Linked DNA regions of Oreochromis niloticus. The protein of the gene in region 2 interacts with the protein of the main gene of each other region in a pairwise test. Links are inferred from orthologs where the notes say so. Each region holds a gene or a part of one and is shown on either strand. Other genes may lie near its edges.

Region 1 (7,915 bases), on a different chromosome or scaffold from region 2:
TTCCTGTGGGACACCTGCAACCTCCCGTCCAGCGACCGAGGAATGGTCACACACTTACCTGGAGGATTCACATGAAATAGCTCTTTTTTAAAACAGAACTCTACCAAATTAAATGTGCTGTGTTCACATAAACATTAAATGTTTTTGTACCACTGACCGTTTTACTGAAATACTAAAGCGCTGTAAGAAACTCTGTTTTCATTTTATTTATTATATATTTAATTTACATTTTTAAATTCTTCTGGATATTTTTAAACATGTTAAAAAAAGAAAGAAAGAAAGAAAGAACCAGATTAAAACATTGCACGCATGTGTGTATGTTGCAACTGCCAGTATGGCTGATTATGTGTCTGCATGTTTGAACATGTACACTTATCTTCAATCTGTGGCTTTTATTTGAACTGTGAAGCACTTTGTAAATCTGTTTTTTGAAAAGTGCTATATATAAATAAAATTATTGGAATTAAAGTATTATATATATTATTTATCAACTCTGATTTATAGTTGATAAAATTTATACCTTGTGATCTCATCAATGAAGTCCTGCCCAGGTACAACCGTTAGTCATTTCCTTTGATTCCCAGACAGGTAAAAGCATCCCTTTTTTCCCCCCACAGGAAACAAGAATTACTGCATTACTGTTTGTGTTTGTCTTTCCCATCTTGTAAATGTCGTCCTGTCTAAATAATCTTCGTGTTTATTTTGACCTCTACAATTAGAACTGCTAGACTAAACTTCTATATTGGACACTGTGATACTCACTAGGCTGCCCGGGGCAGCTGAGTGCTCTCTCCAGCTCTTCCATTGCCCCCTTTTTCTTTTTCAGTTTCTTCACTAGAGAGTCTACGGCCTTTTCCGCCCACTTCTCCTCCTCGTCCCCTTGTTTCCAGCCGAGCAGGCGCTTCACTGCCGGGCTGGTGAAGGAGAATAAGGATGTAATGGAGGTAGAGGAGTTCATTATGAGATGGATAAATGGGTGGCAAGACGAGCTGATGGGTCCTGTTAAAGGGATAAAAGTTCCCTTGTGGATAAGAGTGAAGATGCAAATAATGAGCAGCCAGAAGAGGAAACAGAAGAGGTGAGGATGAAAGACGTGGTGTGATGAGTCTGTGTAAACAGGCGCCGTTTTTTCTTTTTCTTTTTTGTATTCCACTGTTACTTCCGAGCGGCTCTAGTAGAGGCGCTGGACTCCTGCCAGTGCAGCGCAAACCCCCTAAATCCCCTCTCTGTGTTGGGATCCGGCAGCTCTGGAGTCGAAGCCTCCAGCAGGGAAGGTTATTCTTTACACAGCCAGAAATCCAGGTCAAGTTTCAATCATCTGGCAGGAGAAGCAAGAGATTGTATTAACAGATAATTCAGCCAAAAAACAAAAAAAAAGAAAAGAAAAAAGTTTGGAGGTTAGGAAGAAAAAAAAAAGAGAGACCTCGGGTTTTATTGGAAAAGCAGAATTAAGACAGAGTCACTAAGGTGATAAGCTGGTGCGGAGTGATGAGAACAGCCAGAGAAAACACCAAACCAAAAACTACTCATATTTAATGAAGTGGGCATCAAAGGTGGATTTTCATGATATGGAGGGCCATATCAGCAGGGCGCTGTTACAGAAAGCACGCCCGCATGAAAGTGATCTCCCCACATGCTGAACAGCAGTGTTATTATTCTCTATGGAGAAAATGAAACACTTCACAAAACTGCTGCAGAAAGCTCAGGCCAAGATGGCCAAGCTCATTTCTAGATTCACCAACAATGAGGAATGTCCTTTCTGGCCTCTGTTTCTATGATCATGCCACTGACGCCCAGGAGCCATACTGTCTGGCCAGAACACATCACAGGGCAGGAGGGGGAGAGGGAGAAAGGGAGGGCGACAGACAGAGAGCTCTCTCCCTCTGTTTGCCTCTCACTGTCCATCTAAATCTACTGAACATTATATATTATTATATGAATGCCAAGAATAAGGTGTAGGCAAAAAAAGTATCAGATTAAAGTTCTATTATTTAGGTAGGGTTCGTGGGTTCGGCAGCATCCTTGTACGCAAAGAAATTCCCAGATATTCATAAAAATAAACACGTAATTTTATTAGTCTCCTGTTTGTGCGTCTTTCTGTAGCATCATGCCCGACCTTTTGGGTGAAACGCATAGTTTTACATCTTGTACTATCAGCTCTTTGCAAATCATCCTTGCATGCCAGAACACTTTTCCACATGTTTGTGCGCATCTGATGCCGAAAGGGGAAAAAAATATGAATCTTTTGGCAGACTGAGTTTATAAAAGTGAACTGGAAGCTCAGCTTCCCCCCCTTTCCTGTAAAAGAAACAGAACCACTTTAGACTTTCTTCTGAATTTCTTTTTTTTTTTTTTTTTTTTTTTGTGTCAAACTAAACACAGGTGATGAGTTATGCGGATCTGTATGTTCACTTTTTCTTTGCCCTCATGTGCTCATGGCCAGCGCCGGTTTCCCGCAGACAGACACACAGACAGCTGGGGTTTACAATGACAGCAAAAAGCGCACAGGGCTCAATGCGGCATCAGTCCACCGCTGCTGCTGCTTTTATGAAGCCTGGCGTCACTCAGTCTGCAGGCTCAGATAGGCTAATTACCTAATGCTTTATCACCAGGACACCCCTTCCCAAAAAAAGTAAACACGCCAGCTTCCTTTTTACTACAACTCAACTGCGTGTCATTCTGCAGCTACAAAATCCAGGCTCGGACCTAACCTCCACACCTTCACTGCAAATATGCGATTAGGAGCAATGACATTGAAGTCGCTCGGCTCATTCTTGTGTGATGAAGGCATGCTACAACAGAGAAAAGCTCCAGCAAATCAAACACGTGTAGGAGCAAAGAAAACTGCAGTTATTATTTTTAAATACGTCTTGAATAATTAATTCAGTTCAGCTTTGCAACTTTATACTAACCTCAGCATGTAGTAGATGACAAATCTGAACAAATGAAACCCCCCTTAAAGTTTGCCGACAGTGCAAGAGGGTAACATTTAATTTTGATACTATTTCTCTCTTAACAGGAATTCAAATTCGCGTGACATAAAAAACAAAACAAATATACATTTAAAATATTTAAAGGAAAAACGAGCCAGTTAGTTTATTTTCTCACCTCTGTAACAAGTGCAGTGCAGACAGCCGTGTGAGTGTGCGACGCTTTCCTGTTTGTAGTAAGTCAGGCCAGCACACTGACGCTGCGAAGGTGTGTGCCTGTTTGTATGTGTGTGTGATTGAGTCTGTGAGCATGTGTAGAAGGGTCAAGTTGGCCTCAATAACACTTTGCGCCCTGCTGGTGATTTCTAAATAAAAGCATCGCCAACTCAATTTGTAGACGCCAGTTTATAAACGAATATAGCCACAGGCTCCATTTGACAAGAGCCAGATTAAAAAAATGAAAGAAAAAGTTCCTATATGTTTATACATTTTTGTCTATCTTCAATCAATATTTGAAAATTCTACTTTTAAAAGTGAAGTACAAAACTACTTTTGTCCGCTGTGGAAGAGAAACAGACATAACTAATGATTAAATGCAGAGTGGTGCGGTAAGCACCAAGAGAGTGGAAAAGGTGAGTGAAAAACAAACAAACACTTGGCATTACAAATCATTAACTTTAATAAAATAACATCATTATTTTTTATTTAAATCTTCTAAGTGAAATTATTATCAGTAATTTCTACAGGTAAGTGTTAGAAATGAGGTTGTAAAGTAAGTCTACATGAAAATATATAAAATGTATGTTTTGTTTTGTTTGCTTTTGGAGAGGACGTCGCACACAGCGTGAACTTCCGCGTTTATTATGAAGGCTCAGTCTTAGTTATTTCCGGCGTTGTTCGTTGCGGTCGCTTTGACGCAGGTTTGTGAAGCTTGGAGGCTCCACTCCTCCAGCAGCCCCAGCCGAGCGCCACACAGCCTCGGCGGCGTCAGCCTGGCTGGAACCGCAGCGCCTGCATGCTAGATCCCTCCGCCTCCCCCCCTCCTGGAACTTTCTCAGGATTTCAGGGATTTCAGATTCAGCGCTCGCGGCAGCACGCACGAGCGTTTGTGTTCGAGCACCTGAGCTCCCAATCACCTAATCACGATATAAAGGAAAAGAAAAATAGAGAAATAAAAATCCCCAAATCACACCTGTTCTAGTATTGCAGAAGATTTCACTGATTTTACCTGATAAAACTCTAATAATTATTGTACTTAAAGTGTTTATCAGCGAGTTTTTGTTACACCTATCTCTCTGCCTGCGAGGGTCTGTTTGCTGTCATCTTCTTCCTTTACAGCAACGAGCACCTGCTGGGCGCAGGCCAGGCTATAGGTGCAATGTACCGAGTATAAGACTAAATCTGCTTCTTTATATTAACTTTTAAGTTATATATAAAGTCCAGCTCGGGCACGATCAAATCTGCTATCATATCCAACTACCTCACAGTGTTACTTTCCTGTGGTCGCGCGCACGTGCACGCACATGCTGCACCTGTAGGCTTAAAAAAGAAAAGATAAAGTAAAACATCTTCCGGTTTAGTACTCAGTCTTCATGTATGATTCCACACATGCAGTGAAATCATCTTTATTTATATTTTTTTTTTCTTCGTTTTAAAAATCCAAGTTTGTTTTGTTATCCATTGTTGGGAGCGCTGAGGTCTTTCTCACTGCGGATGGATACGATCCTTTATTGGGAGTGCCGTGACTGGTCCAGCTAATGACGCAAGCCCGGCTGGCGACAGTGAGTCTACAAGTTTGACATTTTCAGAGTTTACAGCAACTGCTGCGGGATGTAACAACACTCCCAACGCGAAGTGAAACTACTTTGAATATCCCATAAAAAACAATATGATTTTTTTTTTCATCTTAACCACCAGGTAAACCATCAGAACACACCACTAAGTCAATCCGCTGGTGTGCGCCTAAAAAGGTGGGGGACTATGAAGGTCCAAGGTTTGGTTCGGGGACCGCCAAAGAAGCCGCGGGAAGGTCTCAGAGCAGGACCGAGAGCAGTGGGCTGTGTGTTTGATCACCGTTTTAGATGTGAGCACAACAGCCTGTAAGGGTTTTAATCTCCCATTAGAAACACAGGGCCTATTTTGTGGAGCATTACATTTGGTTACTTGAAATGAAATTTCATTTCATTTCATGGACTAATTGGTGCCAATCGAACGCTTTTGCAAATCTTCAAATATGGCACCCTAATTTTCTGCAGTGCCAAATCTGGAGGCAGGAAACTAGAAATGTGCAGCTTGCGATTCCCCACTTCTGTGTCTTGTGTGGTAGGGCAGACACAGCCAGACGAGCGGGGCACAAACAGGATGCTCTCCCTGGGGCTCCGGGAGGCCCTCAGAGACATCCGCATGAGCGCAAAGCCGAGACCTCAGGCTTGCATAAGAAAACAGCACTATTAAAGTTCATTTACTCAGACCACAAAAACGCTTGCTGGACTCCTTCCAAGATGTCCACACTAGGCCTGGGAGACAAACAAAAGGATGAATATTGAGATAAATACCGCAGTCCAGGGTTTCCTACTTTCTTTCATGTTGAGGAAAGGCCAGATCACACTGCCTACTGTGCTGAACATTTCCTAGAGCTGACCCCAGATAACTTAATCAGTTAAACATGATTTATACCAAATTAAACGTTTAGTGGAGTTAGAGCCTGCAGACATCTAGTAATAATATTTCAAAGGTACTTTCCTGACCCTGGTACTCTCTGTAAGAAGCCTGAAAGGTGCCTCACTGCATGTTTGGGAACCATCAGTCACAATTAGTCAAGTTTTAAGACCCATTAAAGATCCTCGGCCCTACTATAAGAAACTCCTTTAGCTGCAGTATTAACAAAGAGATGTCATGTCTTTACAAAAAATCTGTAGCTGCAGTAAGCATTGTTACAAACACAGCAGAGCAGTTTAAGCTTCTCTGTATTGTATGAAACCATGTCATCACTGATGGTTCTTTAATCTCTACGTCAGAGGTGTCAAACACGAGGCCTGGGGGCCAGAATCGGTCTGGCAAAGAACTCAATTTGGCCCACTGCTCAAATTTGGAAAATATAAAATGTGAAGGAGGGCATTGATTTTGGATTTGAATTCATAGGTTTCATAGCATTTCCTGCTGATAAAGAGCTGGACCACTGCCATTGGACTTCTTTTTATATTAAATGGGATTAACTGTGAAGTTAAACATCTTTACACTGACAGAAAGGGCAGTTTCGTTGCTACGGCCAAAGATCAAAGTGGGCTGTATGTGGCCGACCGTGTAAAATGAGTTTGTTTTCTGCACATTTCTATCAATTTGTCTCTCTTTCTGCTCAGGATAAATCCTGCCTATCACTCGGTATGAGCTGGAATAGGCTTCAGCCCAACTGCAACTAAGGTGAGACAAGCAGTTAAAGGATTGGATTAATGGATGTTTTTCTTCCTATTCACCAATCTGATTACATACTGTAAAGCGTGTAGTTGTTTTCATACTGTCAGTCATTCATTGATTCTATTTGACAGCAGTGCAAAAAACCCCAAAAAACTCAAAATCAATCAAATGCTCATATTTTTTTGAATTAACAACAGTTGTCAGTTACATTTCTGTAGCTCAACCTATTGCTGCAGCTTCAGTTACTAAGTTAATAACAATTATCGAGTCATAAATCACTGACTTTTTTATTATTCTTGTTCATGTCATTAAGCCCATCAACCCTACAAAATAAAATCACTCCCTCACATCAGTAGGTCCTCCACATTACACCACTAAAAGTCCTTCTCACGGCTGACTGGGCACAACATGATGTAACTTAGTTCATGGACGAACCACAGAGATGTTCTGTAACCCGTGGCAACAGAATTTTTTAACATAAGCCATAACAAACGGTAATCACATAAAAAAAAGGCAGGATCATGAGGAAACCAAAACTGTGTCATTACTTCCATCCAGTGATGCCTGGAAAGGAGAAGTATTGATACACCGTGCTTTGCTTCTGATTACAGTGAATGATGGACACAGCTGTAATGCTCCCCCCCAAACCACCCAAAGGCTCGGTGGCCGTATCATAGGCCGTCTCTATGATACAAGGGCTCGTCTGATTGGCTAATCAGTCTTATGCGATGACTGCAGTTTCCAGGCTCCGGTGATGTAGCGCAGGCGAATGAAAACCAGGTCTCGTCCCATCTGCAGCCAGCTCCAAAACGGTACCAGCTTGGACCCTGTTAGAACAAACCCAGAGGCGCTTCAGCTTCAAGTCGTGCTTTCATAAGAAAAATACTGGAAATATGCCTGACAGTGCAATAAAAAGGAAGACTTTATTGCAGTGGTGCTAGGCTGGCTTATATGAAGCTCACACACAAAGATCAACTTCTACAAATTATTACAAAAGGTCTAAAAATAAATGCAATCAACCACAAACAGACTTCCAAACACACCCTACAGAGATATTTATAGCCCTGCAGATAGGTGGCATGGTGGGAGGAGACACGTCCACATATTTCATGGAAAGAAAAAAAAAAAAAGTCGTACCTTCTATTTCAGTCCAGTTGACCGCCACCTCGGCTATGGGGATTTTAAAACACTGGGCAATGTACAGGAGCTCCACATCAAAAGCCCTGTGAGAAGAAAGTGGATTTAAAGTTCCTGTTTTACTGCAGGTTAAAACCTAAAACTCCACTGTGACTCCATCACCTGTGCTAGGTATAAATCCTCAGGACTTCTTAGTTATTTAGCATTAATTAGTGTGATGCTCACAACTGATTTGGACACAGAAGACTGTTTAAATTTCATCAAAAATTCACTTCTTGGAGTTTTCACCAGTTAATTATCAGAAAACAGATGAAACATCCTTGTGACCAGTGTTTTTTTCTGTTACTTTGTATCATGGACAGTTTGCTGCTCACCTAACGGCCACTCAGGAGGGATCCTATCCAGATGCCTGAAGCACCTTAACTGTCTGTTTT
Region 2 (7,188 bases):
GCTTACTTGTGGCTCATATTTAAAAGTAGAATGGGAGGCAGAGCCTTCAGCTTTCAGGGCCCCCTCCACTGAACCAGCTCCCAGTTTGGACAGACGTCCTCGCTACCTTTAAGATTAGGCTTCAAACTTCAAACTTCCCCTTTTGGTAAAGCATCTGGTCAGGGATGGATCCGGTGACCCTGAACCCTCCCTTAGTTACTGTGCAATAGGCCTAGGTTACTGTGGGCTTCCCATGATGCACTGAGTGTTTCTTGGTGGCTCACTGTGCTTACACACCTCTCTGTATGTAATCATTTATCTATCATCGCTTGCTCTTTTCCACAGCCTGTCTTTCTCCCATCACCCTCACCTGGTCGTGGCAGGTGGCTGCCCCTCCCCAGGTTCTGCCAGAGGTTTCTTCCTGTTAAAAGGGTGTTTTTACTTTCCACTGTGTGCTTGGTCACAGGGTGTTGTTGGGGTTGTCTCTGTATACGGTAGAGTTTCTACCTTACAATACGGAGGACTGCTCTTGTGATTGGTGCGAGACGAATAAAACTGAATTATTGCTGAATCATAAACACTTTCCTGAACTGAGACAAGTGAGACCAGCAGTTCTTGAGAGCCTTTTTTGTGACCTTCTGGATGACTATCTGATAACTCTCGGTTTCTCTCGGTAGGCCGTCCACTCCTGGGAAGTTTCATCACTGGTTCAAGTTTTCTTCAGTTGTGGATAATGGCTTTCACCTCAGTTTGCTCCCAAAGCCTGGCTTTGTAACCCTTTTCAGACTGATGGATGTCAGAGACTTTGTTCTTATGTTTCTTTAAATTGTAGTTAATTAATGATTAAACAAGGAGGCAATTACTTTTCAACATACGGCCCATTAGACCTGTATACCCGTTTTCAGATCAAATCCTCATTTATCATATTGTATTTACTTGGATTATCTTATATCTAATGTCACAATTTAGTTGATGATCTGAAGCGTGTGACAAATATACCAAAAAAAATAAATAAATCAGCTTTAGAATGAAGCATTGTAAGTTACTGACATGGTACACACTGTTAATGTAATCACATTTTCTGTGCTGTACATTTGAAAACCTCTTAACTTAAAGAGTAGGGAGAACCTGAAGAAAGTATTTACTTACATTAGGCGTGTCAAACTCCGGGGGAGGGCTATTAACTGAAAATGAAGACGAGACAGACAGTCAGGACAATTCTCAAAGAAGTTTCCAAAGTACATGGATTGAGAAAAACATCGATAAATTACTTTTTCTGTTAAATATAAAACTGTTAGTGTGTGCATTCTTAGCTTTTGCACATTCTGCCTCATTTTAAGTGTAACATGATTCTTTTGATAGTCACATAATCCTTTTATCTGTAGGGGCACAAAAAAACAACTCCTCAGAAATAGGTGGAAGTGAATTTGGAGCACCGTCTCCTTCCGACTGCTGCTTGTTCTGTGCTTGGGCAGACTGACTGTACGGATTCCTTCCAGTCTAAAAATGCTCATCTTTGGATCTGTTTGTATTTGGGAATCTCTCCAACTTTGGTGTTTGTTCATCAGGAACATCCACTCAAAATACACAAAGAATAAACACTTCTATACATTACCAGGCAATAAAACAATTACATGCATTACAGTCCCTAAACTGCCACAACTTTAACACTCCACGGAAACCAAATAGGCAGTTCGCCCAGATACTTACTGACGTTATCCACCTCCAAGGCTCCTGAACCCCTCATCCTGAGGTACATGAGCCCCAGCAGCACAAAGAAGAGGCACGCCGCTGTGAGCAGGAACATGGACAGGTAGTGAGCGCTAAAACTACCTGAGGAAGCTAGCTCTTCCCTTTTGAACTGCTGGAGAAGCTCATCTTCGGGAGCAGACACGTTTCTCTTGAGCGCTGCGTGGCCGCAGGAATGGTTGGGAGCAGGGGTGTGATTAGAGTGGTTGCGCCTGTACGTCTGCGACAGACCGCTGTAGGTGGAGAAGCGCGGTCTCAGCTCGGTGCTGTTGCTTCTGGATGCTCCATCCTCCCCCGTGGCCGGACTGTTTTTACCGGTATATCCTTTGTGGTTTTCGGTAAGTGACCCGTAGATGGGTTTCCTTGGAAGTGTGTGACTCCGCGAGTCTCCCAAGCGGCTAAAGTCCCTTCTCTTTAAATCATCTTCCTCTTCATCCTCACCTTGACTCCCCCCCATGTTTAGAAAACGACGAGGCGTAGCTTCTGTGTTCTGCCCATCGGTCGCAGACCCTCGATCAGTAACGTCGGAAGATAACGCCACACTGGGGTGGTTTCGTCGAGGCTCCAATCTGTCGCATTCTGGGTCGCCGACGCCAAGCCCACTAACTTCCTCCTCGTCCGAGTCTGAGTAATCTCCAGCTAATTTGCTAGCATTCAGGCGAGACGCCCCGCGACCATTTAAAGAGCGGGACTTCTTTTCCATATCCTCCTCATAATTGTCCTCGTCCCCCGAGTCGTCGTAACGCCGTAGTCCCGCATCAGACCTGGATCTGTCACCGACTCCCCAGCCCAGTGAGACACGTCTCTCTCCGTTCTGACCCAGGGAAAAATTGCTGCTTGGTGTCGCACTGTGGTCGTACCGACTCTTGATAGCCACACTCGGCGTTGAGGCAGGCCTAATCTTAGGCTGCTGTTGAGAACTGGAGCTTCTGTTCGCTCTGCCACTGTGACCGAGGCCTTTCCTCTTTAGTGGGGTTTCAGCGTCAGACTCGTCGGAGCTGAAGCCGAGGAGGGAGGACTTCCGGCCCGGTCTCCTGCTTGTATTCAGGTGCGTGACGTCATGGCTGACTGGCCTAGATGCCACTGTGCTACCGCCGCCAGTGGTACTGTTAATGGCACCGATAGTACGGGTTTTACCAGGTCTTAGTCCTCGCTGCTGTTGCTCTTCGCGAAGCTTCTTGAGTTTCTTCAAGTACACCGGACGAGTGTTTTCAGTAACGGGCCCTGGAGTGAAACCAAAACGTTTTAATTCCAAAAAAAGCTCCTCATCCGTTAACTGCGTTGACGCCATCTTGAAAAGACCTCGAAGACGGTTCTGTGACGGAAATGACGTAGAGGTGAAGTGGCAACCAACTGGGTTGTGTTCAAAATCACCAACAAGCTGCGAAAATATGTCGCAGACACCCCCCTTTATTACGTCGCGTATGTTTTCAAATAATATTTTGTTTCACTTTTTCTGTGCGCATATTAAATATCTAATTACTTTTTTTTCAAACAAATAGCTTTATTGAACACGTATACAAACAAACAAAAGTAACCATCTAACAACTGAAGGCACGCACGGTAACAACGAAAAACATCCAAGTATGAAAAATATAAATAAATACAAATCACACAAAAAGGAAAAAGAGTCAGAGAAAACAATCACATTAAATCAAAATTGTTAAGTAATGAAAGTAATTTCACGTCACAGACTCACGTCATTCTTCCAGTAATTCAAGTCAGGCTTAGCTTTGAAAAATCTGCATCAGTGAATAAAATATTTTCCAATTAAATTTACTGTTTTTCTCGTTTGTTTGTTTTCTGTTTTTTTTTTTTTTAAACAATTGTTGTTGTTGTTGTCTTTTATCTAAAAATTCCACTTTACTACTCAGTGAATGGAGTAAATGGTCCAAAAAAGGACCAAGAACATCTTCAGAGACTGGATGAAGTCCTGCGGCAATTAGAGGAGGCGGCCCTGAGTTTAAATGTCAGTTCACAGAAAAGGAAGTGACATTTTTAGCACACCGGGTGGATAAGACAAGTTTACATCCAGTGCTGGAGGCGGTACCCCCAAAATCAGTGACAGAGCTCAAAGCTTATTTGGAGTTGTTGAACTTCTGTTCTTGCCAAACTTGTCCACGCTGGTGGGCCCACTGCACAAGCTTCTGAGAAAGGAGGAACAGTGGTGTTGGGCACCAAAGTTTTCTGCAAGTCAAAAACTGGAACTGGTGCAGTCAAGTAGTGTATTGGCACACTATGATGAGAAGAAAGATTTAATTCTATCTTGCGATGCGTCCACCTACAGAGTGTGAGCAGTGCTAGCTCACCGCATGCCAGATGGTCATGCGGGTGTGACTGATGTAGCTGTGCCCTGTTGGCACAGTCACACCCGGGAATGAGACGCATGAAGGGCCTGGCCAGAAGCTACATGTGGTGGCTGCATATGGAGACTGACATTGAAGACAAGGTGAAGTACTGCAGTACGTGTCAAGAACATAGACTCAGGCCTCAAGAGGAACCGCTACACCCCTGGGAGTGGCCGGAGAAGCCATTGAGAATACAGATAGATAGATAGATAGATAGATAGATAGATAGATAGATAGATAGATAGATAGATAGATATAATTTTATTTCGAACATGCAAATATAATTGAAATAACAACAGAAAAAAACAAAACTTAAAAATCATCAAGTTTTCATGTATATACCTATGTCTACAGAATGTGTGTGCTTGAAAAGGAGTAGGATGAAGTTTACACTTTTCTTGTTCCTACCCCCTTATTTCAAATTTCATTGCTTACAAATCCATATCCAGGACTCAACATTATTTGATCAGATATGTTTAACTATGTACAAATCTAACACATTGAACATACAGAAATAAAACCGTTTTCAGCATGTAAACCAGAACAACGACAAACTACATTTTTACATAAACTAATCTCCCTGTCTATAACACCCCTTAATCGCTGAGCTTATTTTATATCTATGTGACAAACACCTTAATGAACACTTAAGCTTGGGTTACTCAGGCCTTGATCTATAAAAAATGAGGACACAATGAGACGACTCAGTCACTGAGAGGAAGATTTCCTATATTCATGCAATTTATTATTTTTGAACAATCGTGTGAGTTTTTGTATTGATGTACTTGTCTTGATCTCACCTGTACAGGTGTTCCACACACTAACTCCTCTGACTGTAATGCTGTGATATTTTACATTTGTCCTTACTACTGGCTTGCTGAACATAAGGATTCCTCTCAGGTCAGGAGTATTTGGTCTTATTTGGAACAAGTTCTGAATGTTGTGGGGCAAAGATTTATTTGCTGCTTTGTAAATTGTTTACGCAGTTCTGAGGTCAACCAAATCTTTAAATTTGAGAATATTTAATTTGATAAAAAGTGGATTTGATGGTTCTCTTGAAGTAGTTTTATTTATTATCGATTATGCTGGCCCATTTTTGGGTAAAATGTTCCTAGTAATAGTGGACGCCCACTCCAAATGGTTATATGTGTGTCCAGTGGCATCAGCTGCCACTATAGACTGCTTGAGAAACCGTTTCAGCGCTCACGGTGGTCTCGGACAATGCCCAGTGTTTTGTAAGTGCACAAACTAAAGAGTTCATGGCAAAGAACAGCATCACACATGTCAGCTCTGCTCCATATCACCCAGCATCTAATGGGTTAGCAGAAAGAGCGGTGCAAACTTTCAAAGAACTCATGAAAAAGAGTACCGGAGACACACTGGCAACCAAGTTAAACAGGGCTTTGTTTAGTTACCGAATCACAACAGCGTCCCCCGCTGAGTTGATGATGGGCCGGAAGTTGAGTTGTACTCTTGATCTCATACACCCCGACTTGAAATAGAAAGTGACATCAAAACAAGATAGCCAAAGACTGCATCATGATAGACATGCCAAGGAGGGCACATTGGTTATTGGAGACACAGTGTATACCAGAAACTATGCCGCAGGACCCAAATGGATACCAGGACTTATACAGGAAATGAAGGGGCCTGTTTCCTGCACGGTGATGCCGGGCAATGGGAAGGTGGTGGCTGTTTGCCCGCCTGGAGCCTTACCTACCAGCAGGAATACCCGAGGGCCACCAGGGCGAGCCCCCAAAAGCTGCACCAATCATCCATGCTGAGACGATGGACACTGATGAAAGAAACATGGAGGTGCAAGTTACACCAGTGGTGACGCCGCATACAGAGAATAGTGGCTCACAGGAGTCGCCAGCCACAGGGTTGCGAGTTTTTTACATTTTAATTAAGGTTACGTTTTTTATGGGTATTTTATGTAGTACTTAAAACTACAGAGTAGTTTCAGTTTAACGGGGGAGGAATGTTATGATGTAACAGGGGGTGGGCGGGGTTTGGTCCACCAGGGGGCAACAGTCTGTGGAGAGCGGTGTCAGCGTTGGTTGGGTATGCTCCATTTCAGTAAAGACATGACTGTGAGGTCGACATAGTCTCTGTGGTTCCTTATTGCACGGCATATCACATTTAGTCTTCTAAGTAGTCTTGTGCAAAAGTCTTGAACCACCATTTCTCTGTTTTTGTTGGGGAAATGAGTGCAATGATTTATCTTCTTCTTTGGATATTTCTGCTTTTTTATTTTTGTCACGAAGATCTGCTGAGTCGCGCCCTCAGGGAGGCCAATCCATGATGGTGTTCCAGTGTGTGTTGTATACAGTGCTTTGATATAAGAATCAGTCCATGTACCATTTACCACTGCGTGTTTTTCTATCTAACTATGCTTTTACTGCATTGACAGTGTGTTTGGGATCATTGTCATGCTGAAAAATGAGGCTGTTGCCAATTAGATGATTTAAAGATCAAAATTTAATGGTACTGTTTAAATTGATCAGTCCATCAGACCTATTGCCACTGATTTTTGCAGTCTGGTTATTGTGTAATGTTGCATACCTTTAACAGCCACCCTTTAACCCAGACCATTTCTGATGAGGCTTCAGTGATGGATCAGCTGAAGGGTCATCGCTCAGGTCCTGTTTCAGGTCTTTGCAGGAGTCTATCCTATTTCTTAAGGACATGACTGTCAGATACTGTTCATCTGCTGTAGATAGTTTACAGCCCCAAATTTCTATTCCAGCCTTTGAAATGTTCTTGTTTATATGACCTCCATAAAACAAATGGATTTTGTAGTTCATGTTCTGCACATAAGAGTTTCAAAACAGTGAACATCTGGGTTTATGTTAAGGAGAGCAGTGTGACATTGTTCTGATTCTCAGTGCACGGCTGTTTTCCTTGACCTCAAATACGTTTGCATTTAGGTCAAGGAAAAGGTTAGGAATAAGAGATAGAACATACTTTTGGAACACGCTGGAAAAGTCATACCCCACGGCATTCCCATACCTTGTAACTCGGGAGTGGCACCAAAAAACACAAAACAGTAGCAGCACAGATGAGAAGTTTACAGTGTTAGTACTGTTTACATGCAGTGCTACCATCTTGG

Evidence for each region.
Region 1: the proteins of lemd3 (region 2) and smad9 interact in binary tests that used the Homo sapiens proteins (3 or more experiments, as listed by UniProt). The link is inferred for Oreochromis niloticus from reciprocal best matches to the Homo sapiens genes LEMD3 and SMAD9.

The regions. Positions count from the first base shown.
Region 1 is NC_031975.2:15,859,978-15,867,892, reverse strand, and holds the start of smad9 (mothers against decapentaplegic homolog 9), read right to left. Parts: upstream 3,261-7,915; 5' UTR 3,109-3,260; intron 1,319-3,108; 5' UTR 959-1,318; coding exon 763-958; intron 59-762; coding exon 1-58. Other genes in the region: alg5 (dolichyl-phosphate beta-glucosyltransferase), read right to left, coding at 7,056-7,171, 7,482-7,567. UniProt on the Homo sapiens protein: Transcriptional modulator activated by BMP (bone morphogenetic proteins) type 1 receptor kinase. SMAD9 is a receptor-regulated SMAD (R-SMAD).
Region 2 is NC_031981.2:544,571-551,758, reverse strand, and holds the start of lemd3 (inner nuclear membrane protein Man1), read right to left. Parts: upstream 3,094-7,188; 5' UTR 3,020-3,093; coding exon 1,690-3,019; intron 1,164-1,689; coding exon 1,129-1,163; intron 1-1,128.